Macaca fascicularis: one gene and its partners. The protein of the gene in region 1 interacts with the protein of each later gene in a pairwise test. Links are inferred from orthologs where the notes say so. Each region holds a gene or a part of one and is shown on either strand. Other genes may lie near its edges.

Region 1 (5,137 bases):
TCACAGAGCAGGAGGCATTGAAACTGGCCTTGCAGAGCTAAACAGGTGGCGAGCAGAGCAGAGCGTGGCCTGGCCCTGGCAGCAATGCCGAGACCAGTGTGGGTGGACAGAGATGAGGCGGCCTTAGCGGTCAGCTGGGGTTTGTCAAAGGCTTATGGTCAGCCGGGCCGTGTGCTGGGGACACTCCCTGCCTGCAAAGAGCACCGCGTGATCAAGGCCACTGGGGTCCTGAGGGGTGCTCTGGAGAGGGTGTGGGGCCACATGGTGGAAGGGACAGGGCGCTTTGGGGAGTGGGGTGGGGCAGGCCTCTGCCGGGAGCTGGCATTTTCGTTGACCCGGACGAGGAGGAGTCTGCTGTACGGAGATCATGGGGACAGCCTTCCAAGCAGAAGGAAGGGTAAGTGCCAGGGCCCTGAGCCTGCAGCCACCCGAGAGCTCTCCCACACCTCGGAGTAGACAGCAGGCCATGGGGCGGGGGAACGGGAAGGGTGAGGAAGAGGGTGTGAGGGAGCGCTGAGCTAGAAGTTTAGATTGTATTCATGTGCAGGGTGTGAGGGAGCAACGAGTTAGAAGTTTACATTGTATTCATGTGCAGGGCCGTCAGGGAGCTTGAGGCACAGGGTGCCATGATGATGGCTGGGGAGGGGAAGGCAACCAGAGTGGGCAAAGCGAGGGCCCTGGAGCAGATACAGCAGCAGGGGGAGCCTGCAGCGCTCCCAGTGGACCCCGCCCTGTCCTGCTGGTGCAGCAAAGGCAGGCTGCCATGTGAGTGGCCAAGGGTCGCTCACTGGGCAGGAACATTGTCAAGGCCATTCATGCTTGGAATAGGGTCTCTTTTCAGCTCTGAGACAAATCTGTTCTCTGATTTCCAGATGGCTCCAAGGGGAGCATGTACCACCACCCCTCTGGTGTGTTGCATTGCTTAGGAAGCCTGCTGTGTTTCTCGCTGGGTGGCTATTAGGGCTGCAGATGGAGAGGGCCAGGGCCTGGCGAGGCGGAGCAGTCGGCCCAGGTGTCCCAGCAGTTGTTGCTGGAATAGGGTCTGGAACCCACAGGAGAGGCCTGAAGGACCCAGGGGCCTCTGGCTGGATGCGTTTGACTCTCAGGACCCAGAATTACAGACCTATTTAGGGCTACGCTTGGCCAACTCTTTCTTGAGCTCATCTGGAGAGTGTGGGAACACGCATTCTTCATCCTTATTCTCCCTGGCTGTGGGCAACAGTGGTCCTCAGAGTCACCAGATGGTCCTCATCTGTGCCCATAACCCCTCAGCAGCCAAGGCTGGCCCTGCCAGATAAATGTGTTGTGCCTGTGGTCACACCCAGGGGCTCATGCCACATACGTTTCCCTGAAACCATGGGCTCCAGCCTCCATTCTGTCCATGTGGGAGGGAACTTGGGTCCCAGCAGTGTGTCTTGCAGCACCAAGTCACGTTGAAAAGACCAGATAGACAAGCATTTTGCCAAGATCTTCCAGGGAAAGTGCATATGTGACACATTAACATTCAAATCAGGCCGGCACGGCGCTCATGCCTGTCATCCTAGCAGTTTGGGAGGCCGAGGCAGGAGGATCACTTGAGCCCAGGACTTCGAGACCAGCTTGGGCAATACAGTGAGACCTCATCTCTACAGATAAAATTTTTAAAAAGTAGGGCACATGTCTGTAGTCCCAGCTACTGGGAGGCTAAGGTGGGAGGATCACTTGAGCCTGGGAGGTTGAGGCTGCAGTGAGGCATGATATGCCTCTACACTCCATCCTGGGTGATACAGTGAGACCCTGTCTCAGATCAATAAAAATAAAATTCAAATCAGTTATCTTAGTTCAGAAACTTTTCAAAGAAGTGGTCCATGCAAACTACCCCGAAAGAGCAAAACCAGCCAGGTGCAGTGGCTCACGCCCATAATCCCAGCACTTTGGGAGGCCCACCCAGGTGGGTGGATCACGTAAGGTCAGGAGTTCGAGACCAGCTTGGCCAACATGGTGAAACCCCGTCTCTACTAAAAATACAAAAGTTAGCTGGGCTTGGTGGCACATGCCTGTAATCCCAGCTACTTGGGAGGCTGAGGTAGGAGAATCGCTTGAACTTGGGAGGCAGAGGTTGCAGTGAGCCAAGATCGAACGCTGGCTCCAGCACCGGGGGTGCTGGTGTGTGTCAGGAGCGCGCCTCCAGGCTGGTGTCAACTCTGCAACTTCACATTGTACCTCCTGCTGCCGCTGCTGCTTCCCCGAGCCCCAGCTCAACCTGGAGCATGAGCTCCCAGCCTGAGGAGGAGGCTGTCGATACTGTTTTTCTTTCCAGGGAGGCAGCGGGTGGGTGCGATGTTGTCACTTAAGTTGCCACCTCTGTGTAAGAGCTCTCTGATCAGAAAGCAGTTTCTTTGTTGACCCCAGCCAGCCTTGGCTCTCAGGTTGGGAAATATGGTCACAGTATCCTTGGAGACCTCTCCAGGTAGAGACTGGGTCTGAGGTGGCCAGAGTCCGAAGCAAGCAGCCTCTGTGGAGCGAGGGGAGCAGGTGGGCCTGACCTGAGCGCAGCCTCTGCACAACCAGCTTTCCCCCACACCCATCTCCAGCCAGGGCACCCACAGGCCCTGCTCCCACTTACCGCACCCGCCCTTCCCAGGATGAAGCCTGCTGGGAGCGTGAATGACATGGCCCTGGATGCCTTCGACTTGGACCGGATGAAGCAGGTGAGCGTGCCCTGTGCCCTTCCCTCAGAGGCCGAGGGCAGCCAGTAGGCTGGGGACCGTCTCTGACCAGCACGGCCAGGCAGGCCCTGGGGGCCCACACGTGGCTGCCAAAAGGCCAGTCAAGGAACAGCCGTGGAGGAAAGGGGGTGCCCAAGCCTGTCCTTCGTCCCCAGCCCCTGCCATCACCAGAATTAGGATGTCCCTCAACCTTTCTGGGTACCTCCCTCAGGCCTGCCTCTGGGGCTTTCTGCCCCGAGGCAGCCCTTAGTTTCGGTGGTGTCTACCTGAGGGAGGTGGTGGCAGGATTTTCCCAGGCCTCCCACACCGTTCCCCCTCAGCGTGGGAAGGGGCCACGAGGAGACAAGGGTGACAGATGCAACTCTGGAGAGGCCCAGGAGGCCCCGAACCCTTTGGACATAGCCCAGCCCAGGCCGGCTTTTCTGTCTCCACTGCCTGTCCCTTCACCTGGACGCTCCTCTCCCAACAGGAGATCCTAGAGGAGGTGGTCAGAGAGCTCCACAAGGTGAAGGAAGAGATCATTGACGGTGAGTGGAGCCCCAGGCGGGGCCACAGAACGAGGGTCCCTGTCACCCAGGGTGGGGACCTGCCGTTTTGAGCTGAAGCCCATGCTGTACTGGGCCCTGTGAGAGATTCATTCTTCTTACAATCTCTACTTGAGGAAACAGGCTCAGGAAAGCTAAGTGGCTTGCCTAAGAATTTGTAGCCCCCTGGTAGTATGACACCTGAATGTGACCTTCCACACCCTTGCACCTTCCTGGAAGACCCACGTGGGAAGTGCATGGAGGGGAGACCCCAGCATCGTTCCAGAGCCAGGTCTGGAGGAAACCACCTGAGCTTCTGTCATTTCACCCCCTGGTGGTTTATGTTGCCTTCTTGATACTGCCACCTCGAGTCACCGGTGTTGGGGTTCTGGGGGGACCATTCTGCCTTCCTGGGGGTACAGGGAGACCAAGCACTACAGAAGCACCTTCCAGGCCTGAGCTCGTTCACAATCTGCCTGGTCCCGGACTGGGGCGCAGGCGGGGAGCAGCCTCTGGCTGCAGAGCAGGGCGGGCCTCAGTGCATCACATCCGTCCTTCTGGTTTCCACCAGAGCCTTTGAGCGCACTGGCTCAGATCTGCAGCCAGAGGAAAAGGGGGAGTCTGGGCAGGGCAGACTCAGGGGACAGAGCTGTGCAGCACAGCCTGTGCCAGCTCCCCCACCTGCCTCCCCAACCAGGGTGACGAAGGCTGACACCTAGGTGTGTAGCTGGGTCTGGCCCCCAGGGCATCACAGTGACCTGGGCAGAAGGGTCCCACAAGCACACAGGGGCGGAGGCTGATGGCAGAGGTGAGAGGCAGGTGGGAGTCCGAAGACCCAGGCCTCCTCCCGCCGCCGGCCCACCCTTGTTTGAGCAGAGAGCACTCAGTTCCTGTTTGTCCAGTTCCCCCAAAGGCCTGGGCTGGGGAGATAAGGAGTTAACAAACGAGGGGAAAGAGGCAGCCTGGGCGATAGGCAGGCACCCAGCCAACTGGTCACACCACCTTACTGCCAGGCGCCATCCGGCCCCAGGCACAGCTGGGTCAGAAACTCAGGGCCCGCCACAGCCTCTCCACCTGCCGTGGTGCAGCCCCAGGTGGAGGCCGCCCTGGCTGAGAGCCAGGGGAGGGGAGGCATGGGCTATGCCAGGGGCCCTGAGAAGCAGCTCCCTGTTGCTGGGGGATGCCTGCCCCCACCACCCCTCACCTTCTCCTAGCTGTTGGCTCTTGGCCCAACAAGGTCCATCCGGGGAGAGGCCTGAGCTGACATAGAGGAGGGGGAGTCTGGGAGGGGATGGATACCAGAGGAAGGAGGGAAAGGCCCAAATTTGGGAGGCAGGGGGTTGGTGCACTAGCTTGGGGTGGTGAGGAAGCGGGGAGGAGGCAAGAAGACAAGAGAGGCCCCGCCTCTCCTGAGGAGTGAGCAGAGCCAGGGTGGTCCCTGGGGTCCAGGGCCAAGATTTCCTGCTGACCCCTGCAGGAGCTGGAAGGGCAGAGCCTCGGCCGGCCTCCACTATGTTGGGGGAAGGGGTCCCGGGCCCCCGGCACCTGGACACCCACCTGTCCAGAGCCTACAAAGACCCTGTGTCCCCACACAAAGCAGCTCCTCACACCAGGGTTCCAGTGCCCACCACTCCTCAACAGCAATGAGGCCACAGGCAGGGCATCAGCCTCTGTCTCCATGCCAGGTCCTCCCCTAAAAGGGCAGTGACAGCAGGGGCCACCGCAGGAGGAATGGCAGATGAGACCCAAAGCCTTTTGTCGTCACCCCAGAGGTCTGCGCCATAGCCTGGGTGGGGCTCCCTGGAGATGGAGCGGGGCAGATACCAGGCAGGTCCACACCAGGGGTGCAGGGCCCTGATGAGCCAGGCTGCACGGTCCTGGCTGCACCTGAGCTGCTGCCCCCTG
Region 2 (6,201 bases), on another chromosome or scaffold:
ATGCCTGGCTAATTTTTGTATTTTTAGTAGAGACGAGGTTTTGCCATTGTAGCCAGGCTGGTCTTGAACTCCCGACCTCAAGTGATTTGCCTGCCTGGGCCTCCCAAAGTAGTGGGATTATAGGCGTGAGCCACTGCCCCTGACATGGTTTGTTGTGTTTAAGAATGTCGGCTGGGTGCGGTGGCTCACGCCTGTAATCCCAACACTTTGGGAGGCCGAGGCGGGCAAATCACCTGAGGTTGAGAGTTTGAGACCACCAGCCTGATCAACGTGGAGAAGCCCTGTCTCTACTAAAAAAAAAAAATACAAAATAAGCCAAGCATGGTGGTGCTTGCTTACAATCCCAATTACTTGGGTGGCTGAGGCAGGAGAATCGTTTGAAGGCGGAGGTTGCGGTGAGCCGAGATCGCACCACCGCACTCCAGCCTGGGCAACAGGAGCGAAACTCTGTCTCCAGGAAAAAAAAAAAAAAAAAAAAAAAAAATAGAATGTCTGCTCTAGCCAGTGTTGCCTTCCTCTTTCCTTTCTACTATTCACCCCCACTCCAACCCCTAAAAGGACAGCCTGTTACTGAAGTCTTCAGGAGGGTGGTACCATCATCTGTACTCAGTCCTCAGCTTGACTGTTTGAGAATGGGTATATTTCCCTCCCTTTGCATCTGTTCCCCAAGGCTGCAGATTCACTTTTTTAAAGTGAATTTAAAGTGATGTTGTAGCTAGTCCCTCTTGCTACAACATAATTCTGCTGAGAGCCAACGCAAACATCTAAGGGTTGCGGCTCTGTCCCAATCCAGCGCCTATTTTCCCTAAATCCTCTCCCATCCCACCCCAGCCAGCCAAGGACCCAGTGGAAGATGCTGGCCCTTAGGCCAGGGCTGTGTGTATTTCAGGCCACAGACAAGCGGAAGGCGCTGGAGGAGACCATGGCCTTCACTACCCAGGCACTGGCCAGTGTGGCCTACCAGGTGGGCAACCTGGCCGGGCACACACTGAGAATGTTGGACCTGCAGGGGGCCGCCCTGCGGCAAGTGGAAGCCCGTGTAAGCACGCTGGGCCAGGTAAGGGGTGTGGGGCGTGGGAAGGCGTCTTGCATCAGGCCTCAACTCTTCAGCCCGACTCAGACATTTTCTACATCAAAAGTTCCTTCCTGCTTTCCCCCATGTCCAAATGCCCAACTCTACAGCAGAAGGTTGGCACTTTCCAAGCTTTTTGGACCTCCTTATCTCTGTGGCTATGCTACAAATTCCCCGAAGGCAGAGCTTTTTCTTTCTTGGAATTCTATCCTGGACATTAGAAAGTAATATCTACCAATCAGAGCAGCGGCATATACAGGAAAGAAGCAAATGAACCCTGTTTGCATCTAAATACAAGCAGTGCCTTAATAAATATCCTAGACCCAGGGTGCTAGCTTGACAAGGTCATCTTCAGCCCTGGAAGCACTGCCAGCACCATACAGTATACACCCTCCACCCTGCCACAGTGTTCTAGTGCACACACCCTCCTTCCTTCCTGGATCCTTGACCGAGGAATTGCCCCATAAAGCACATGCACAGACCCAGCCACACATTCAGCCTGGCCTGTGCATCACCCACATGTTCAGTGGGTGGGGTGTGCCTTTTCCTCTCCCCCCGCAGACCAGAGTTCCCACCCTTTCGAACTGTAGGCTTTCTCCACGGAACATTCTGAGAGGAAGTCAGTTCACTTATTTGTCTCCCAAAGCTGGTCAAGCCACCATTCTCTGCCACCTCCATATTTTCCCCCTCTGCTCCCAAGCCAGCCCAGTGCTTGTCTCTTCCCGGCATCCCCAGGGATGTTGTGTTTTCTCTTTTCCTCCAGTTCCTGCTCAGCTAATAATAACCCTTACTCTCTTTCCACCAGGAAGTGGCTCCAAAGTGGCTTCATCCTTTCCTGCCACTTTTCCCAATTGCTATGTAGCCTGGTGGGGGAGCGGGGGGAGGGGAAGGGCCCTCTTTTTCTAGACCTCGTTGCCTCCCATGGTCCCTACCCCCAGCCCAAAGTCTCTATCTTCTTCCTCCTTAGGGGGAAGGGCATTGGACACAGACCACCCCTCTCTGTCACCTTGAACCCTGTCATGCAGATGGTGAACATGCACATGGAGAAGGTGGCCCGAAGGGAGATCGGCACCTTAGCCACTGTCCAGCGGCTGCCCCCGGGCCAGAAGGTCATCGCCCCAGAGAGCCTACCCCCTCTCACGCCCTACTGCAGGAGACCCCTCAACTTTGGCTGCCTGGACGACATTGGCCATGGGATCAAGGTAGAGAGAGGGACCCTCTTCTTTCCCTCCAACCCACCCTCTCGTGCCTTGTGGCCCTTTTCCCTCCAGACCCCCAGTTCTCCTGCACATTTTGTCCCAACTTGCCACTGCTTTCTTTCCCCACTCCCTGAAGCCACCACTCTGAGCTCTTCTCCCTCTCCCTAGATTTTGTAATCCCTCCCTCCAAAACTGGTCTGTACCGTCCTCAGAGGATCTGCTGAGTGTGAGATCCTGAGCACCCCTCGCCCCCCCGCCCTGCCCCTGTGCCACCGGGCATGTGGGAAGGGGAAGAGGGGGAAGGGAGGATGTCAGGGTGTGCATGAGAATGGCTCCCAGCCACATGAGAACAGCAACTTCCTCTGTCTGGGGGTTTGAGGTCACTGCACTGAGCAGTCACCCCACAGCTGCTTTGGTGAGAAGAAGCGGGGATGCAGCCACACAAAGGGGACTTGGTGAAGAGAGGGGAGCATGGCGCTGGCGTCTTCTCAGCCCACGTCCTTCTGCGAGGTCGGAGAGGGCACGCACTCACACCCGTCCCGTCTTCAATTCCTGTCTCCACACCTTGACATTTCTGTATTGAAATGAACCCCTTGATATCCTGAACTTATCAGCCCCCCTTAAAGGGGAAACCACACTCTCCCCTTCAACCACCAGGCCTCCTCCCCACCAGTAAGGTCTCTGTTGTCCAACTTATATTCTTTTTTTTTTTTTTGAGATGGAGTTTCACTCTTGTTGTCCAGGTTGGATTGCAATGGCGTGATCTTGGCTCACTGCAACCTCCACCTCCTGGGTTCAAGTGATTCTCCTGCCTCAGCCTCCCGAGTAGCTGGGATTACAGGTGCCTGCCACCATGCCTGGCTAATTTTTTTTTTTTTTTGTATTTTTAGTAGAGATGGAGTTTCTCCATGTTGGCCAGGCTGGTTTTGAACTCCTGAACTCAGGTGATCTGCTTGCCTCAGCCACCCAAAGTGCTGGGATTACAGGCGTGAACCACCGCTCCCAGCCCAACTTATATTCTTTGTGCTTCAGCTCAAATCCCTTTCGTCTTGCCCCTGGTGAAGCCTATGAGGTAACACTGTACCCACCCCTTGGGGAAGTCCCATTGGTAACAGAAGTTCCCTCTTTCATGTGGGTGTGCGCCCTGTCATTTGCACATCCCCTCTAAGTGGCCTGGGTCCTGCTCCTCTCTGCCCTAACTCCCCAAAGCCAATTCCACAAATCTTCGAAAATGACAGGTGGGACACTTCTAAGTGTGATGTGTCCTCTCCTTTCCCCACCGCCTCCTCAGCCCAATCAAAGTTAGGGACTACTAACTAAGCCAGGGCCTCAGCTTCCTGGGCTCTGAGATGGTTTGGAGGAGGGACAGGGGTGCCGGGCCCACTCAATCCGCTGTGGCTGTGCAGAGGAAGTGGCTGTCGGCTTTGGTAGAATTGAGTCCCAGAACCCAGGCAATGACAAGGGGGTAGCGTGGGGGAAGTGTAGGAGAGGGCCCTGAGAAGTGGAAGTGGGAACTGGCCATGCTGGGCTCTCCCTCCCGGTTCTCGTCCGCCCCTCCTCCATTTCCTCTTGGGGATGAGGGTGGGGAGCGGCCTCTCACCCCAAATGTCAGCCCTACCTCCCGCTCCCTCGCAGGACCTCAGCACGCAGCTGTCAAGGACAGGCACCCTGTCTCGAAAGAGCATCAAGGCCCCTGCCACACCCGCCTCCGCCACATTGGGGTGAGGCCTCGCCAACTAGCCTAGCCCTACCCCGCGCGACCCTGAAACTCTCCTCCCCCAGCCTCGCCACCCACCCCTGGCGCCTGGGGGCTCAGGCCGTCATGCTGGATGCCTGGCGCCAAACCTCCCCCTCGGCCACATGCCTTTCCTGCTCACACCCGACCCCTGCTGGCCAGAAGCCTTCCTCCTTCCTCCTAATACCCACTCCCCGACCCCCGCCAGGAGACCACCCCGGATTCCCGAGCCAGTGCACCTCCCGGTGGTACCCGACGGCAGACTCTCCGCCGCCTCCTCCGCCTCTTCCCTGGCCTCGGCAAGGTGAGACCTACAAGCCTGCGTGGGAGGGTGAGGGGTGGGAGGTGGCTTTCGAGAGGGGCCTCCTGCCAGTGGTCATAGTGACTCCTGGGCTTGAAAGGACCCAGTTAGTCCTGGGTCACACGTGCAGGGCTGGGTTCAGGATTGGAGGGGTGGGGCCAGCTGGGGATGCTGCATTAGGGAAGGCGTGTCGCCAACCGGGCCGAGCCCCGCTTTCTCTGGTGTTCAGCAGCGCCGAAGGTGTCGGTGGGGCCTCCATGCCCAAGGGGCAGGCAGCACCTCCAGCCCCACCTCTCCCCAACTCCTTGGACCCACCTCCTCCACCAGCAGCCGTCGAGGTGTTCCAGCGGCCTCCCCCGCTAGAGGAGTTGTCCCCACCCCCACCGGGTAAGGAGCTCCGCCCCCTTCTTCTTCCCAACCGTGGGGTCGCTTTTCCGCCTCCTGCCATTCCCCAGCCCACCTCTCTTGGATCTGCCCCAGCCAGCCTCAGTGAATGCCTCCTCCATGGAGCGCAGCACGGGAGCGAAAGGAGGCGGAGGAAGTGAACTAACATAACTTAGCGCCTGCTGTATACCAGACCCTGTGTTCGAAGCTTCTCGTCCATTTTCTTATTTAAACTTAATCCTGGCCGGGCGCGATGGCTCATGCCTGTAAACTCAGCACTTTGGGAGGCCGAGGCGGGCGGATTACCTGAGGTCGGGAGTTCGAGACCAGCCCGACCAAAATGGAGAAACCCGGGCTCTACTAAAAATACAAAATTAGCCGGGCGTGATGGCACATGCCTGTAATTCCAGCTACTTGGGAGGCAGAGGCAGGAGAATCGCTTGAACCCGGTAGGCAGAGGTTGCGGCTAGTGGAGATCCGGCCATTGCACTCCAGCCTGGGCAACAAGAGTGAAACTCCCTCTCAAAAATAATAATAATAAACTTAATCCTAAAGGCCAGGTGGGGTGGCTAACGGCCGTAATCCTAGCACTTTGGGGGACTGTGGAGGGCAGATCACTTGAGGTCAAGAGTTTGAGACCAACCTGGCCAACATGGCTAAAAATACAAAAATTAGCCTGGCTGGTGGTGCATGCCTGTAATTCCAGCTACTCAGGAGGCTGAGGCAGGAGGATCACTTGAACCCGGGAGGCCTCCAGGCTGCAGTGAGCTGAGATCACCCCACTGCACTCCAATCTGGGTGACAGAGCGAGATTCCCTCTCAAAAAAATAAAATAAAACAAAACAAAATAAACTTAATCACGAGAGGGTCCTTAGCACTCTTCCTTAATAGATGAAGCCACTGAAGCTGAAGTTCAGTGACTTGCCCAAGAGCCACCCAGCTAATAAGAGGTAGAGTCTGACTGTCCTCTAGTGCTGGATCTTTCAGGGTTTACTGAGCACTTACTATGCGCTAGCACACCGTGGGAGGACCAGGACAGGAGAGGGCTGGAGGAAGATTGCATGAGATGGGTGCATTCTTTTTATTTTCTTTTCTTTTGAGATGGAGTCTCACTCTGTCATCTAGGTTGGTTGGAGTGCATTGGCAAGATCTCAGCTCACTGCAACCTCCACCTCCTGGGTTAAGCCATCCTCCTGCCTCAGTCTCCTGAGTAGCTGGAATTACAGGCGTGTGCCACTATGTCCAGCTAATTTTTGTATTTTTAGTAGAGATGGGGTTTCACATGTTGGCCAGGCTGGTCTCGAACTCCTGACCTCAGGTGATCTGCTCACCTTGGCCTCCCAACGCGCCTGGCTGAGATGGGTGGATTCTGGGGCCCAGCTCTCGAGCAGATCCCTGACACACTGAAGGAGCTTCCTGTGCCACACTTACAGCCTTTCTGCTTTTCCCCCAAGATGAAGAGCTGCCCCTGCCACTGGACCTGCCTCCTCCTCCACCCCTGGATGGAGAT
Region 3 (6,201 bases), about 49 Mb from region 1:
AAGCTTTATCATCAGCCCTCAGCATCCTTGCTGAATAATTTTGTTGGTATGTTAAATTTACCAACCACACATGGTAACTGAAAACTAGAATTTTTCCCCAGAATCATTTGGAATAACTGTAACATTTTTTTTAAAGATCTTTCAGGATCTTAGTGTTCAAAGGTAATCAAGAAAATACATATCGCCTCTTACTATTCAATGTGTGAATTCATTCTAAAATATTAGAGAGCACACATTTAAGACAATTTCAGAGTTACGTCAAATTGTGAATGTTACATAAACAAAAATAATTTCTAGATATGTCTTTGGGCTTATCAAGAGAAAGTGGCATATGTAAAGTTTCTGAAGAAAGCATAGATCTCATTAATGGCACAATTTAGTTTAAGTGTTGTCATAAATCCCCTGTGAGGAGCACAGATAGGAAATTTAAGGCTTTCTTCAGCTACAGCAGACCTGGGAAGGATGTTAACACAATGGACAGACCAAGACAAAACACCCGGGGGTCCAGTGTGCTCTGCTGACTGTTGGAATATTGCCCAAGTAGCTCCAAATAAGAGTTAGTAATATTTTTCTTGGAAGCTCAAAAACACTTCTTCCCTCAGTAGCTTTCTGACATTCGCATTAGTTCACTACATTTGGAAAACAGATATTTGGTTCCCAGCATTTTATCAAACCACAGAGTAGGATTAACTATAATTTACATTTCAAACTGTTTTCCTCAAACATGCCCACATCTGCATATGTCTCAGAAGCTGTTTTGTTTTTGTTAGCTCACCAAACTTTGTGAACTATTTTATACAATGATCAATTACGAATTCATGCCACTAAAGAATCTCCCAGGTTCATGGATAATAACACCAGTGTATGGGCTAATTCTAGACTATGGACTATGGTATCATAGAAAACAAGCCCCTGGAAACTTTTCTTCAGTGTGTTGAACGAAACCATATTTCCAGTCATTCTCTCTCGATCACAACATAATAGTTAATACACATTAAAGATCGTGCTAAGTGCTTTGCAATGCCCTGTGAGGTACCACTTCTAGCCTTATTTTACAGACAGATGAAATAAATTTTTGAGTCAAAGACTTGCTCAAGGTGAGAAACCTAGTAAGTGAGAAAGTGTGTCCTCTCACTCCAGCCTCTATGACACAGAACATGGGCTCTTTACTACTCAGTTCCATCTTACTTCAGAACCAGAACTATTAAATCTGTTCAAGCAATCAGTGCTTTCAGAGAGGGACATGAGTAGATTATAAAGACTGTGTAAATACACACTCACTTTCCAGCATCCTTAGTTTTTTGGATTGCTCTAGGAGAGAGATGCCAGAAAAATACACACACAATTCCTCTCTTTGTCAGGAAAAAGCAGGCGCTCAGAGAACTCAGCCAAAGGGAAGCGGAAGAACATAAGATTACCCCTGCAGGACAGTGAGTGATGGGTTAGCCAACAAAGATAGAAAGAAGTACTGTGCTTGGCAAGTGATGTCTATAAAAGGCCAGTGTTTTCTCACAAACCTGAGTAGCAACAGAAGTGACAAGAAAGGGAAAAGGCAGGGGGAGAGAAGGAGAGCGAGCGAGCCGTGGAGGCCTGTATCAGTGGTCATGACGGTGTGAGTGGCACTGGTGGCTGTTTTTGGAAGCAATGACAGATATAATCAGCTGAAAACAGCAGAGAAACAAATCACTCGTGACAGAAGACAGAACAGCTTTGCTGCTGTGGGGGATAGCCAGCCACCTGTCTCTGGTTTCTGCAGTCCTTTGAGGTCTGGGCAGGAAACTCCAGCCTGAGCAGGGTGGAATGAGGGCAGGCAGCTGCCTCTGCTCAGCAGCCCCCAAATGCATCCGCATGCCCTGCCGGGGCAGCCCAGCCAGTACAGATGGACCATCAGAGGAGGGAAGAGGACATAGTCACGCGATGTGGCATCCCAGGGATGCGTGAAAGCCATTCCTGGGCAATGACATCTGCAGCTACAGCACAGTCCTTAACTGATTTTCTCACAGTCCTGTTCTGCAGAGGCAGCACGGAGCAGGAGGGCAAAGGGGGCTTCTCATGCCTTCTGCCATTCTTTGATAGGGATAAATGATGCATTCTCAATCGTCAAAAAATTCCCCCTTCCCTCCAGATTGCTGCCTTTATGTCTCTCCCATATAGAAAAACTGGAGTTGCCCTACCATCACCATGGGACTGTCCCAAACTGTTCACCATATTCTTTTAAAAAGTGCCGGGAAGTGTTTGCAATGTTTCAAAAAAGACATTTCCATTAAGAAAAAAGTTAAAATGTTATGGCTAGGTACTTAAATAGTTGGTCCACTATTTAGTGGGGCAAACTGTTCAGTTTCATTTCCCAAAGACATTTGTGGTTTTATTTTATACAGTTCTATGTGATTCAAATGATATTTTGAGGACTGCTATAACAATAAAAGTTTGGGTTTCTGAAGGGTGCTCAAATTGAAGGGCTACAGTGACAGTTTTTTAGCCATGTTAGGCGAGGTGCTGGATACAGAAAACATCCATTGGTCCTCAGGCCTAACCGGATGGACCAAGACCACAGTGCACATGTGCTAATCACCCTCTTCTTCCCTGACAGCTTTGCCGATTCCTGCAGGTAGGAATGTAAGTGGTCATTAACACACACTTCCTATAATTTGGACTGCTCAGGTGCCAGCTCTTGTTACTCTGTGACCATTTTAGCTGCAAGTAATTTTGCCCTGTCACAACTTCTGTGACATTGGGCACCTCTCTGTGACCATTTTAGCTGCAAGTAATTTTGCCCTGTCACAACTTCTGTGACATTGGGCACCTCTCTCCTGGAAGCCCACTCCCTACCTGTGTTGGGGTCAGCTGTGGGTATAACTTATCTCTTCCATTGAACTGTAAACTCCATAAGGGCAGGACTCCTTCTGAGCCACCTTCATTTCCCTCCCTCCTCCTGCTCCCCTGCCCAGCACTATGAGCATATGGTCAGACCTCATTTCCCCCTTCATCCTAAGCCATGCCAACACTGCACACTACATACCCACCACCCGCCAGTAGCCACTCTGAGGCCTGCTGGCCACATGTGTGGGCCTCAGCTGATTGTCTACTGCTGGACCCCTTCTGGTTGGTTCTTCTCATCCACTCATCCTTCCTCTCACATCTTGTTGCCCTGCACCAATGGGGCGATAGATGGAATATCAGATGTCTCCTAGAGGACCAGTCCTGCCAATAGGGTCCCATTCTTATAGCCAATTGATTCCACCGTGTCATGACAAAATTCTGTGCAGCTTCCAACTATAAAGTTCACTTGAGAAGTTAAGACAAATCATGTTGATTTTCTAGAAAGTACAGATTCTATTTCTCAATTCAAAAGTACATTTTTGCCTCTGTATGGTCACTCTATCTAAAATTTCCACCCCCATCCCCAGTACACACTATCCTCTTATTCTACTTTTAAAATTTTTCTTAGCACTTTTTTACTAATGTACTCCACATTTTACTTACTTATTGCTATGGTTTCAATATATCCTCCAAAACCCATGTTGAAATTTAATTGCCATTATAAAAGTATTAAGAGGTGGAGCCTTTAAGGAGTGATTAGGACATGAGGCCCCTACCTTCATGAATGGATGAATGCTATTATCTTGGGGGAGGGTTAATTATCATGGGAGTGGGCTCCCACTTAAAGGTTGAAGTTTGGCCCTTATTCTCTTGTTTCCCATGCTCGCCTGTCCTTCTGCCTTATGCCATGGGACGATGCAGCATGAAGGCCCTCACCAGAAGCCAACACCATGCTTTTGGACTTCCCAGCCTCCAGAACCAAGAGCTAAATATAATTCAATTATTTATAATCACCCAGTCTGTGGGATTCTGTTACACCAACATAAAATGGAGGAAGACACTTATTTATTATTTATCCCTCCTGATAGAATGTAAGTTGCATAAAGGCAAGAATTTTGATTTATTTATTATTCCTATGTCCACAGCAGTTCCTGGCTGAGAAAAGTCACTCAACAAACATTATTTGGGTAAATGAAGGAGTAAGCAGTGAATGAAGAGATGTGCCTGCTCCTTTCTGGCCAGACCACTGGCTACCCAAGGCTGTGGGCATCCTCTCCTTCTGTCCATGGGAAGGAATTCTCCCAGCCTGTCCATCATGCCTCCCAGGAGCCTGGCTTGTTGGCTTTATGCTCTTCCCATGATGCAGTACTTACCTTCAGCTTGTGCTCATGCTCCTTGTTGACGCGGGCCAGCAGCTGGGCTTTTCTTCTGTTGAGGGCATCGATGAGGGCATCGCATTGGGCCACCAGACAGGCTTCAAACTCCACACTGTTCTCCTGTGTAATAGAGCACATTTCTCAACTGCAAGGTGCTGGGTGCCTCAGGCTGCCAGAGAAAACAGAGCTCCCCCATCCTGCTGAAGGGAATGAAAAGGAACTCTGTCCACAATGCACATTTGGTAATTTTTTAAAAAATAACTGGACAAACTTTATTCTACACTGGTCATGTTTTGCTTTAAATTTAGATTAAAAGGATAAATATTTATCGCTTAAATTTATCAAAAGGAAGTCATCTCCACAATTTGAATTATATTAAGTAAAACAAAGCTATAGTTTATAGAGTTGTGTATGAATGCTTTTGAAGGCCACATATGTCCAGCTACGTATGATGGAAGCTGGCATTCAAAAAGGCAATGAGGAGGGAGTGGGGCATTGCTGAGGTATGAGAAATCATTAAATTCAAAGGAATAAAGAAGAAAAAGGATGGCACTGGTCTTCAATGTTAACAATAATCCAATGAGAACAGAAGTTTATAAGATACAAGAATAATGGGTAAAAGTACTTGCCCCTTTCATTAAGGAAAGCAAATAGTAGGCAGACAAAAACAATCAATGTGTGTAACAGGGATCACCCTGCCATAAAAATCAGATATGACCCAACACCTTGCAGGAGAAAGGCAACTTCATGCTAAATGAATTATAGCTTCCCTTTGATGTTTAAATTAAATGCTGGATATAACATTTTTATTTGATTTAAATCTGTACATGCCATAAACATTTATTTCAAGCAATTCTTTCAATGAGTTATACTCTGTTATTAAGGATAAGCCTTTCAATGAGTAACATATGCAATTGTGATTCTTAAACCATAATCTGAAAAAAAAGTAATTTACAGTAAATGAAAGCTAAATACTCACATATACATTAGTAGTACTTAAAAAGCACCACCCAGTTGAGGAAACTGTAAACTTTTGGGGGCTGGCAAGGAAGGCACAATTTTAATTTATTTAAGGCACAAATTTTAATTTATTACCAAAGTCATAAAGAACTGTGTCTCTTTATGTAATAATCAGCTGGTAGGCATTTAGTAATTGTTTTCAAATGCAAGGTCTTCGTATAAGGAATGTGTTAGTAATTGCTTGAGCAATGCTAAATTTTGGCTTTCAGGGCAATTGCTTTTGAACTCTCAGAGAAGGCCCTTGGAAAACATCATTTAAGAGCTCTCTGTGCCACATGAAGGGTAATATTGGAGGGTGGGGTGAGGGCAAACCTTCCCCTTGTAAGCTCTGTCACTGATTTAGAGCAGAAAGAAAGCTTTGCTCTGATGAAGAGGCCCGGGCAGAAGCAAGCCTGGGGCTGCACATTTTATGCCAGTAGAGTAAAGAAAGAACTGATTGATAAACTCTATTGCTTTGGAAAACAGAAGGAAGTATACAAAACTGCTAGGCTGTTAGGGAATCAAAAGTTTAACATGGGCATGTGTGCCAAAAAAAGGCAAAGAAATTAGTGTGTAATTCTTTGAAAGGGTGGCTTACATTTAAAAATCCATTTCTGCCTTGACATGGTTAAATATGAACTTAGTCAACTTACTGGAGGCCAGGTTATTTCTGTGAGACAAACCTCAAAACATAAGAATGCTAAACAGTACACAGGGTCATTATTTTAGTGTTTCATACAGTCTATGGTTTTTCTCCTTCAGCTATAGTGGAGAATTTATGAGCTCTTAAATGCTGGTTGAACTGCTGGTCATTGTGTCTAGATAAAGCAATCTGAAATTGGAGTTGCCAGGGGATCGTGGTTGAAAAATATTTAAATGTCTAAGCAGAGGAGAAGCATTATTGTGGGTCAGGGAAGAAGAAAAGAAGAAAGAAAGGCAGAAAGGGAGGAAGAAAAAAAGAGGAAGAAGGAACAAGGGAGGAATGAAAAAGAAAACAAAGGAAGGC
Region 4 (6,153 bases), on another chromosome or scaffold:
TGCTTCAGGCCTGGCCTGAGACCTCTTAAAACAAGAACATTTTAGAATAGGAATAGTGGGATGGGGTGAAGCTGAAGAAACCCCAACCACCTCAGCAGGAGGAGAGACTTTCAATGTGAGGGTTCTAAAGCAGCTGGTAGACCTGCCAGGGGGCAGTGCACACTGAGGATAAGTGCGGTGAGGACTCCAGGAAGCAATGGCCAAAGATCTTTAATTTTTTTTTGAGATGGAGTCTCACTCTGTCACCTAGGCTAGAGTGCAGTGGGGCAATCTCAGCTCACTGCAACCACCCGGGTCCAAGTGATTCTCCTGCCTCAGTCTCCTGAGTAGCTGGAATTACAGGTGCCCACCACCACACCCACCCAAATTTTTGTATTTTTAGTAGAAGTGAAGTTTCACTGCATTGACCAGGCTGGTTTTGAACTTCTAGGCTCAAGTGATCTGCCTGTCTTGGCCTACCCAAAGTTCTGGGATTACAGGCATGAGCCACCACACCCAGCCTTATTTTTAAGACAAGGTCTTGCTACATTGCCCATGCTGGACTTGGGGCAGGTGTGGGCCACTGTGCCCAAAGACTTAATTTTTTTTCAGATGGAGTTTCGCTCTTGTCACCCAGGTTGGAGTGCAATGGCCTGATCTCGGGTCACTGCAACCTCTGCATCCCAGAATCAAGTGATTCTCTTACCTTAGCCTCCTGAGTAGCTGGGATTACAGGTGCCTGCCACCACACCCAGCTAATATTTAGTATTTTCAGTAGAGATGGGGTTTCACCATGTTGGCCAAGCTGGTCTCGAACTCCTGACTTCAAGCAATCCACCCGCCTCAGCTTCCCAAAGTGCTGGGATTACAGGCGTGAGTCACCACACCCAGCCCCAGACTTTCTTTAAAGTGAAGAGCCCTCGGTAGGGAGTGGTGGCTCACGCCTATAATCCCAGCACTTTGGGAGGCCGAGGCGGACAGATCACTGGAGATCAGGAGTTGGATGGCAACTCCATCCTGGCCAATATGGCAAAACACTGTCTCTACTAAAAACATAAAAATTAGGCCAGGTGTGGTGGCTCACGCTTAATTCCAGCACTTTGGGAGGCTAAGGCAGATAGATCACCTGAGGTCAGGAGTTTGAGACCAGTCTGCCTGGCCAACATGATGAAACCCTGTCTCTACAAAAAATACAAAAACAGCCCAGGTGTGGTGGTGGGCGCCTGTAATCCCAGCTACTTGGGACGTTGAGGCAGGAGGATCACTTGAACCCAGGAGGTGGAGGTTGCAATGAGCCAAGACCATGCCCACTGCACTCCAGCCTGGGCAACAAGAGTGAAACTCCATCTCAAAGGATAATTAAAAAGAAACACAAATTTGCCGGGCGTGCTGGCACATCTGTAGTCCAGCTGTTTGGGAGCGGCTGAGGCAGGGGAATCACTTGAACCCAGGAGATAGAGGTTGCAGTGAGTCAAGATCGCACCACTGCACTCTAGCCTGGGCGGCAGAATGAGACTCCATGAAGAAAGAAAGAAAAAAGAAGAGAGAGAGAAGAGCCCTAGACTGCTTTAGACCAAGGGAAAAGAGTACAATAGGCCGGGCGCGGTGGCTCAAGCCTGTAATCCCAGCACTTTGGGAGGCCGAGACGGGCGGATCACGAGGTCAGGAGATCGAGACCATCCTGGCTAACACGGTGAAACCCCGTCTCTACTAAAAATACAAAAACTAGCCGGGCGCGGTGGCGGGCGCCTGTAGTCCCAGCTACTCGGGAGGCTGAGGCAGGAGAATGGCGTGAACCCGGGAGGCGGAGCTTGCAGTGAGCTGAGATCCGGCCACTGCACTCCAGCCTGGGTGACAGAGCAAGACTCCGTCTCAAAAAAAAAAAAAAAAAGAGTACAATAGCACATCTGGTTCTTGACTTTAAACCAGGAAGGGAAGGGGTAGCCTGGGGGGTGGCTGGGTGAGGGGTCTCTGCTGGGCCACAGCCCCATGGGCACTTACTTTGGTAGCTTCAAGCTGGGATTCGAGGGTCCCCGACTCCTCCACCATGCAGGACCTAGACACAGAAGGACAGTAAGGAAAAGGGCCTGCTCCCAGCTGGCCGAGAGCTCAGAATGAACCTTCTCTCAGAGCAGTGCCTGGCAACCTCACATTCCTTTTAAGGGAACTGAACCTAACTGCAATTGGCCATCTTTATCTAATGGGCCCCAGGAATCCAGGGAGGGCAGGGAGCATTTCTCCCGTTTTAGAGATGGGAAGCTGCTGCCTTGGTGTGGGCTAGGGCTGAGCCCACTCGTCTTGCTCCCAAGGCCAGGATGACTCAGGAATGGAGTTTAAATTCCCCCATGGGTACAGGGCAGCTGCAAGCCTGTCTGAGCATCCTCTCTGCAGCCTTGGAGGAGATGGGACACCCTGACACCTGACAGACGGGAGACCTCAGGGCAGAGGGGAGGCTGAGAACCTGACAGCCTCCCCATAGAAACCCTGGAGTGTCCTGGCAAGGTTCCTGAGGAGGGAGCCCCATTCTAGGGGGAATGAGAGCACGACCCTGCAGACAAAGGACACAAGTGGAGTGCTGGGAGATCACAACCAACTGTGCCAAAAGGAGGGATGGCTGTGACTAAGCCCCAGATCCCGGTTTCATCCTCTAGACACAGTCAGGGAGGCAGCCTCCTCTCTAGGATCAAGTTCTGAGAGCAGATGGGCTTTGGGGAAGCTCCTTCCCAAGAGAACACAGTGCCAGGTCACAGAGGCTACCAGTAAACAAAGACGACAAGTTAGGGACGTGCAAGGATGGATTCACACAGGGTGTATGGCCTTGGTGGGGTTTTAGCCCAAGCTCCCCTGTACCCACATTCGCCCCAGCCTACCCTTTTAAAACCCAGTGAGCTGGGGTTAGCTCTGCAATCTCCCCAAGTTCAAAGTGCTCTAGCAAGGCAAGGCACCAGGCTTCCTCCTACCCCAGCAGGTCAGACTCACAGTCACGCCATGTCCCCCCGGGGAAAATGCCCCCCAGGACCTGGGGGCAGGAGGCTGGGTGCCGGTGCAGTGGGAGGACAGACCCCTCCTTCCCAAGCGGCCGAGGGCGGCAGGTTAGTCAGGGTGGAGCCGCCTGGGGATGTCAAGAGTGCATCAGTAAAGCCACAGTGAGGTAAGAAGAGAAATAAGGAGAAAAACCTTCCAGACAGATCATCCCCAACTTCATACTGATAGACACGAATGACTCGACGATATGCTATGCTAGTCAAAGAAAAGAAACCAAATGAATACACCAAAGGGAGGGGAGGCAAGAGCACACTGCAACAGACATACAAGGCCCAAGCTGGCAGGGCGCAGGCAAGGGCAACCTGGTGCCTGGCGGGTACCTGGAGGCAGCAGGCCCAATGGCTCACCCCAGGCACCTCACACTAGGAATGGGCAAGAAGGGCAGGGCTTGGAAGGAGCCATAAGGTGAGGGGAGCGTGGCACCTCATGACCTCATGGAGACAAGAACAAGACCAGCAGACACAGCCATGGGGCAGGGAGGGGAGTCAGGTGGCCAGGGTGTCCTACGGGCACAGGCCAGAAACTGCGATCCCTACGTCCCCAGCTGCTCTGCCATCAGAATGTGTGGCCCGGCTGGAGGGGTCTATTTTTCTCCTGGCCGCCTATACAGGCTTGATATGCCTGTGTGCTGAGCCTCAGGAGTGCAGGCTAAGCCACTCCAGTCCCACCAGCCCTGGCTTTCACAGCGGGCTTGGCAGATGACAAAGGTGACCCGCCCAGGGAGAGGCCCCAGGCTGAGCAGAGAAGCCCCCACCGGGACTGGGTGGGACAGCTCTGCTCCTCCCTGGGGCTCCTCCCACGTCCTGTCTATCACATCATAACGGGGGCATTTTTGCCTTCTATTAGGGCGGACAGTTCTTACCCTTCCTGACCCCAGGAAAGTCAAGTGGCAGCCTCAGCTACTTGGGAGGTGTCAGTGCCCAGCCCTTCTCAGCTGTGAACTTACTGTACCCTGCCTGAGCCCCCAACATTGCCATCTGCTTCATGCCCACTGACCACTGTTGGACACGCTGCGGAAGCAGCGCTGAGAGCCCAACAGAGCCCGGGGACTGGACAGGCGCGGGGGTTCTCAGGGCCCCTGGACTCCAGCTCTGGCCTTCGTGCTTCATCACCTTCACTACCCAAAGTGAGCCCTTGGAATCACTCAGTGAGGCAAGGGTAGCTCCCTCTGGCTTGAAGGCTCTATCGGGGACCCGGGACCATGGGCTCTGGGGCAAGGAACACGCTCCTTGTCAGGTGATGGGAAAGGTGGGAGGGGAAGTGCAGCCTGCCCTGGGCAGGAAGGCCCATCCCGGGATCCTCCACAAGCCAGGCTACAGGACAAGGGCAGAGGGGCAAGCGCACGAGACCCCACACGACAAGCCCGGAGAAGGAAGAAAACAATATTAACCCATCGAGGAGGTATGTCCTGTGGAGAGCAGATCCAAGCAGCCAGGAGACAAGGTGGTATCCGGACAACAGCAGCAATCGGGAGGTGGGGGACAGAGAGAAGACAAAAGAAAGAAAGGAAAACAAAAGCAACATCAGTACTCAGTGCATAGACCCTGCATCGTCTGTCGCCAAATCACTGCTGGGGCTGATCACACACCCTGTGTGGCCCCACTCAATCCAGGAGCTCCAGCAACTTGGTCTCTGGGACATGCAGCACTGGGAGGCTGCTCTACCTATGCTCCCACTCCCGGCTCCAAACACGACCAGGCATTGCCAGCCCAGCTTTATTCCCAGGCTGCCTCTGGTTTTACACAAAGCACCCCCACCTCCTGGGGGCTGGAGGCTCTCCAGGGCTTAAGCATAGCAGGGACATGCTGCTGCCCCCTGGCCCCAGAGGGCTGGCACCTGGTCTCTTGGATCCACTGGTGGAAGGCATTGGCGTGCTGGGCAAACTCCTGGCGCAGCTTGTCGTTCTCCTCCTGCCGCCGCTGTTCCTTTTGCAGCTCCAGCTCCCTCTCCTGAGGGCCAAAGGGGGGCAGATGCTATGCACTGCTGTGGCAGTGACACCAGCCCCTCCTTCACAGATGGGCTCAGGATGGATGGAGGTGGCCTCCCTGCAAGGAACCTCCCCAAAGATGAGAGGGGAAGGAGGCTGGGAGACATGAGGCCGGCTCAGAGCACTTGGTAGTTCTTTCTCTGTTCCCACCCCCCGAGGTGCTTCAGGAAGGGGTGGACCTGGCGGGGAAGCGACTGGCCAGTCAAGCAGGGAGTTGCTGGACTGTCAGAAATGGAAACTTCTGGCCGGGCGCGGTGGCTCACGCCTGTAATCCCAGCACTTTGGGAGGCCGAGACGGGCGGATCACGAGGTCAGGAGATCAAGACCATCCTGGCTAACACGGTGAAACCCCGTCTCTACTAAAAAATAAAAAAAAAAACTAGCCAGGCGAGGTGGCGGGCGCCTGTAGTCCCAGCTACTCAGGAGGCTGAGGCAGGAGAATGGCGTGAACCCGGGAGGCGGAGCTTGCAGTGAGCTGAGATCCGGCCACTGCACTCCAGCCTTTGAGACTCTGTCTCAAAAAAAAAAAAAAAAAGGAAACTGGAAACTTCTGGCTGGGTACAGTGGCTCACACCTGTAATCCCAGCACTTTGGGAGGCCTGGGCAGGAGGACTGCTTGAGGCCAGAAGTTCAAGACCAGCCTGGGCAACATGGCAACACCCTGTCTACAAAAATTAAAATAATTAGCCAGGCGTGGTGGCATGTGCTTGTAGTCCCAGTTATTTAAGAGGCTCAGGAAAGAGGACCACCTGAGCCTGGGAGGCTGAGGCTACAGGGAGCCATGTTGGCACCACTGCACTGCAGTCTAGGTGATAGAGACCCTGTCTCAAGAAAACAGAAAGAAATGGAAACTTCTGATGAAACCATGCTCCTTCCTCCTGCCCTGTCCTGTCATTACTCAGTGTGGGCTCTGAGCAGGGCCCAGCAAGGGCTCTGGGAGGCTGAGCAGCTCCTGAGGGCAGCGGGAGGTGTACCTTGATGATCTTCTGTAGGTTCCTCCAGGTCTCCTCCAGGGCCTCCATGGTGAACCAGGTGTAGGGGTTGGAGGCTACACGGAAGCTCTTGATCTGGCGGTCCAGCTCGGCCAGCTGATTGAAGTCGGCCTGGGCAGAGCTGAGGGAGGAGCGGAAGGCGTCGTGGGC

Evidence for each region.
Region 2: the proteins of EVL (region 1) and ABI3 interact in binary tests that used the Homo sapiens proteins (3 or more experiments, as listed by UniProt). The link is inferred for Macaca fascicularis from reciprocal best matches to the Homo sapiens genes EVL and ABI3.
Region 3: the proteins of EVL (region 1) and TRIM9 interact in binary tests that used the Homo sapiens proteins (3 or more experiments, as listed by UniProt). The two-hybrid records come from large-scale screens. The link is inferred for Macaca fascicularis from reciprocal best matches to the Homo sapiens genes EVL and TRIM9.
Region 4: the proteins of EVL (region 1) and SPTAN1 interact in binary tests that used the Homo sapiens proteins (3 or more experiments, as listed by UniProt). The link is inferred for Macaca fascicularis from reciprocal best matches to the Homo sapiens genes EVL and SPTAN1.

What each region holds. Positions count from the first base shown.
Region 1 is NC_088381.1:168,229,900-168,235,036, forward strand, and holds part of EVL (ena/VASP-like protein), read left to right. Parts: exon of another isoform or gene 1-397; intron 398-2,623; coding exon 2,624-2,690; intron 2,691-3,177; coding exon 3,178-3,235; intron 3,236-5,137. UniProt on the Homo sapiens protein: Ena/VASP proteins are actin-associated proteins involved in a range of processes dependent on cytoskeleton remodeling and cell polarity such as axon guidance and lamellipodial and filopodial dynamics in migrating cells.
Region 2 is NC_088390.1:57,495,912-57,502,112, reverse strand, and holds part of ABI3 (ABI gene family member 3), read left to right. Parts: intron 1-889; coding exon 890-1,057; intron 1,058-2,097; coding exon 2,098-2,274; intron 2,275-3,906; coding exon 3,907-3,992; intron 3,993-4,214; coding exon 4,215-4,310; intron 4,311-4,536; coding exon 4,537-4,694; intron 4,695-6,145; coding exon 6,146-6,201. UniProt on the Homo sapiens protein: May inhibit tumor metastasis. In vitro, reduces cell motility.
Region 3 is NC_088381.1:118,940,979-118,947,179, forward strand, and holds part of TRIM9 (E3 ubiquitin-protein ligase TRIM9), read right to left. Parts: intron 4,317-6,201; coding exon 4,194-4,316; intron 1-4,193. UniProt on the Homo sapiens protein: E3 ubiquitin-protein ligase which ubiquitinates itself in cooperation with an E2 enzyme UBE2D2/UBC4 and serves as a targeting signal for proteasomal degradation.
Region 4 is NC_088389.1:15,332,568-15,338,720, forward strand, and holds part of SPTAN1 (spectrin alpha chain, non-erythrocytic 1), read right to left. Parts: coding exon 5,986-6,153; intron 4,974-5,985; coding exon 4,861-4,973; intron 4,433-4,860; coding exon 4,415-4,432; intron 3,220-4,414; coding exon 3,157-3,219; intron 2,036-3,156; coding exon 1,981-2,035; intron 1-1,980. UniProt on the Homo sapiens protein: Fodrin, which seems to be involved in secretion, interacts with calmodulin in a calcium-dependent manner and is thus candidate for the calcium-dependent movement of the cytoskeleton at the membrane.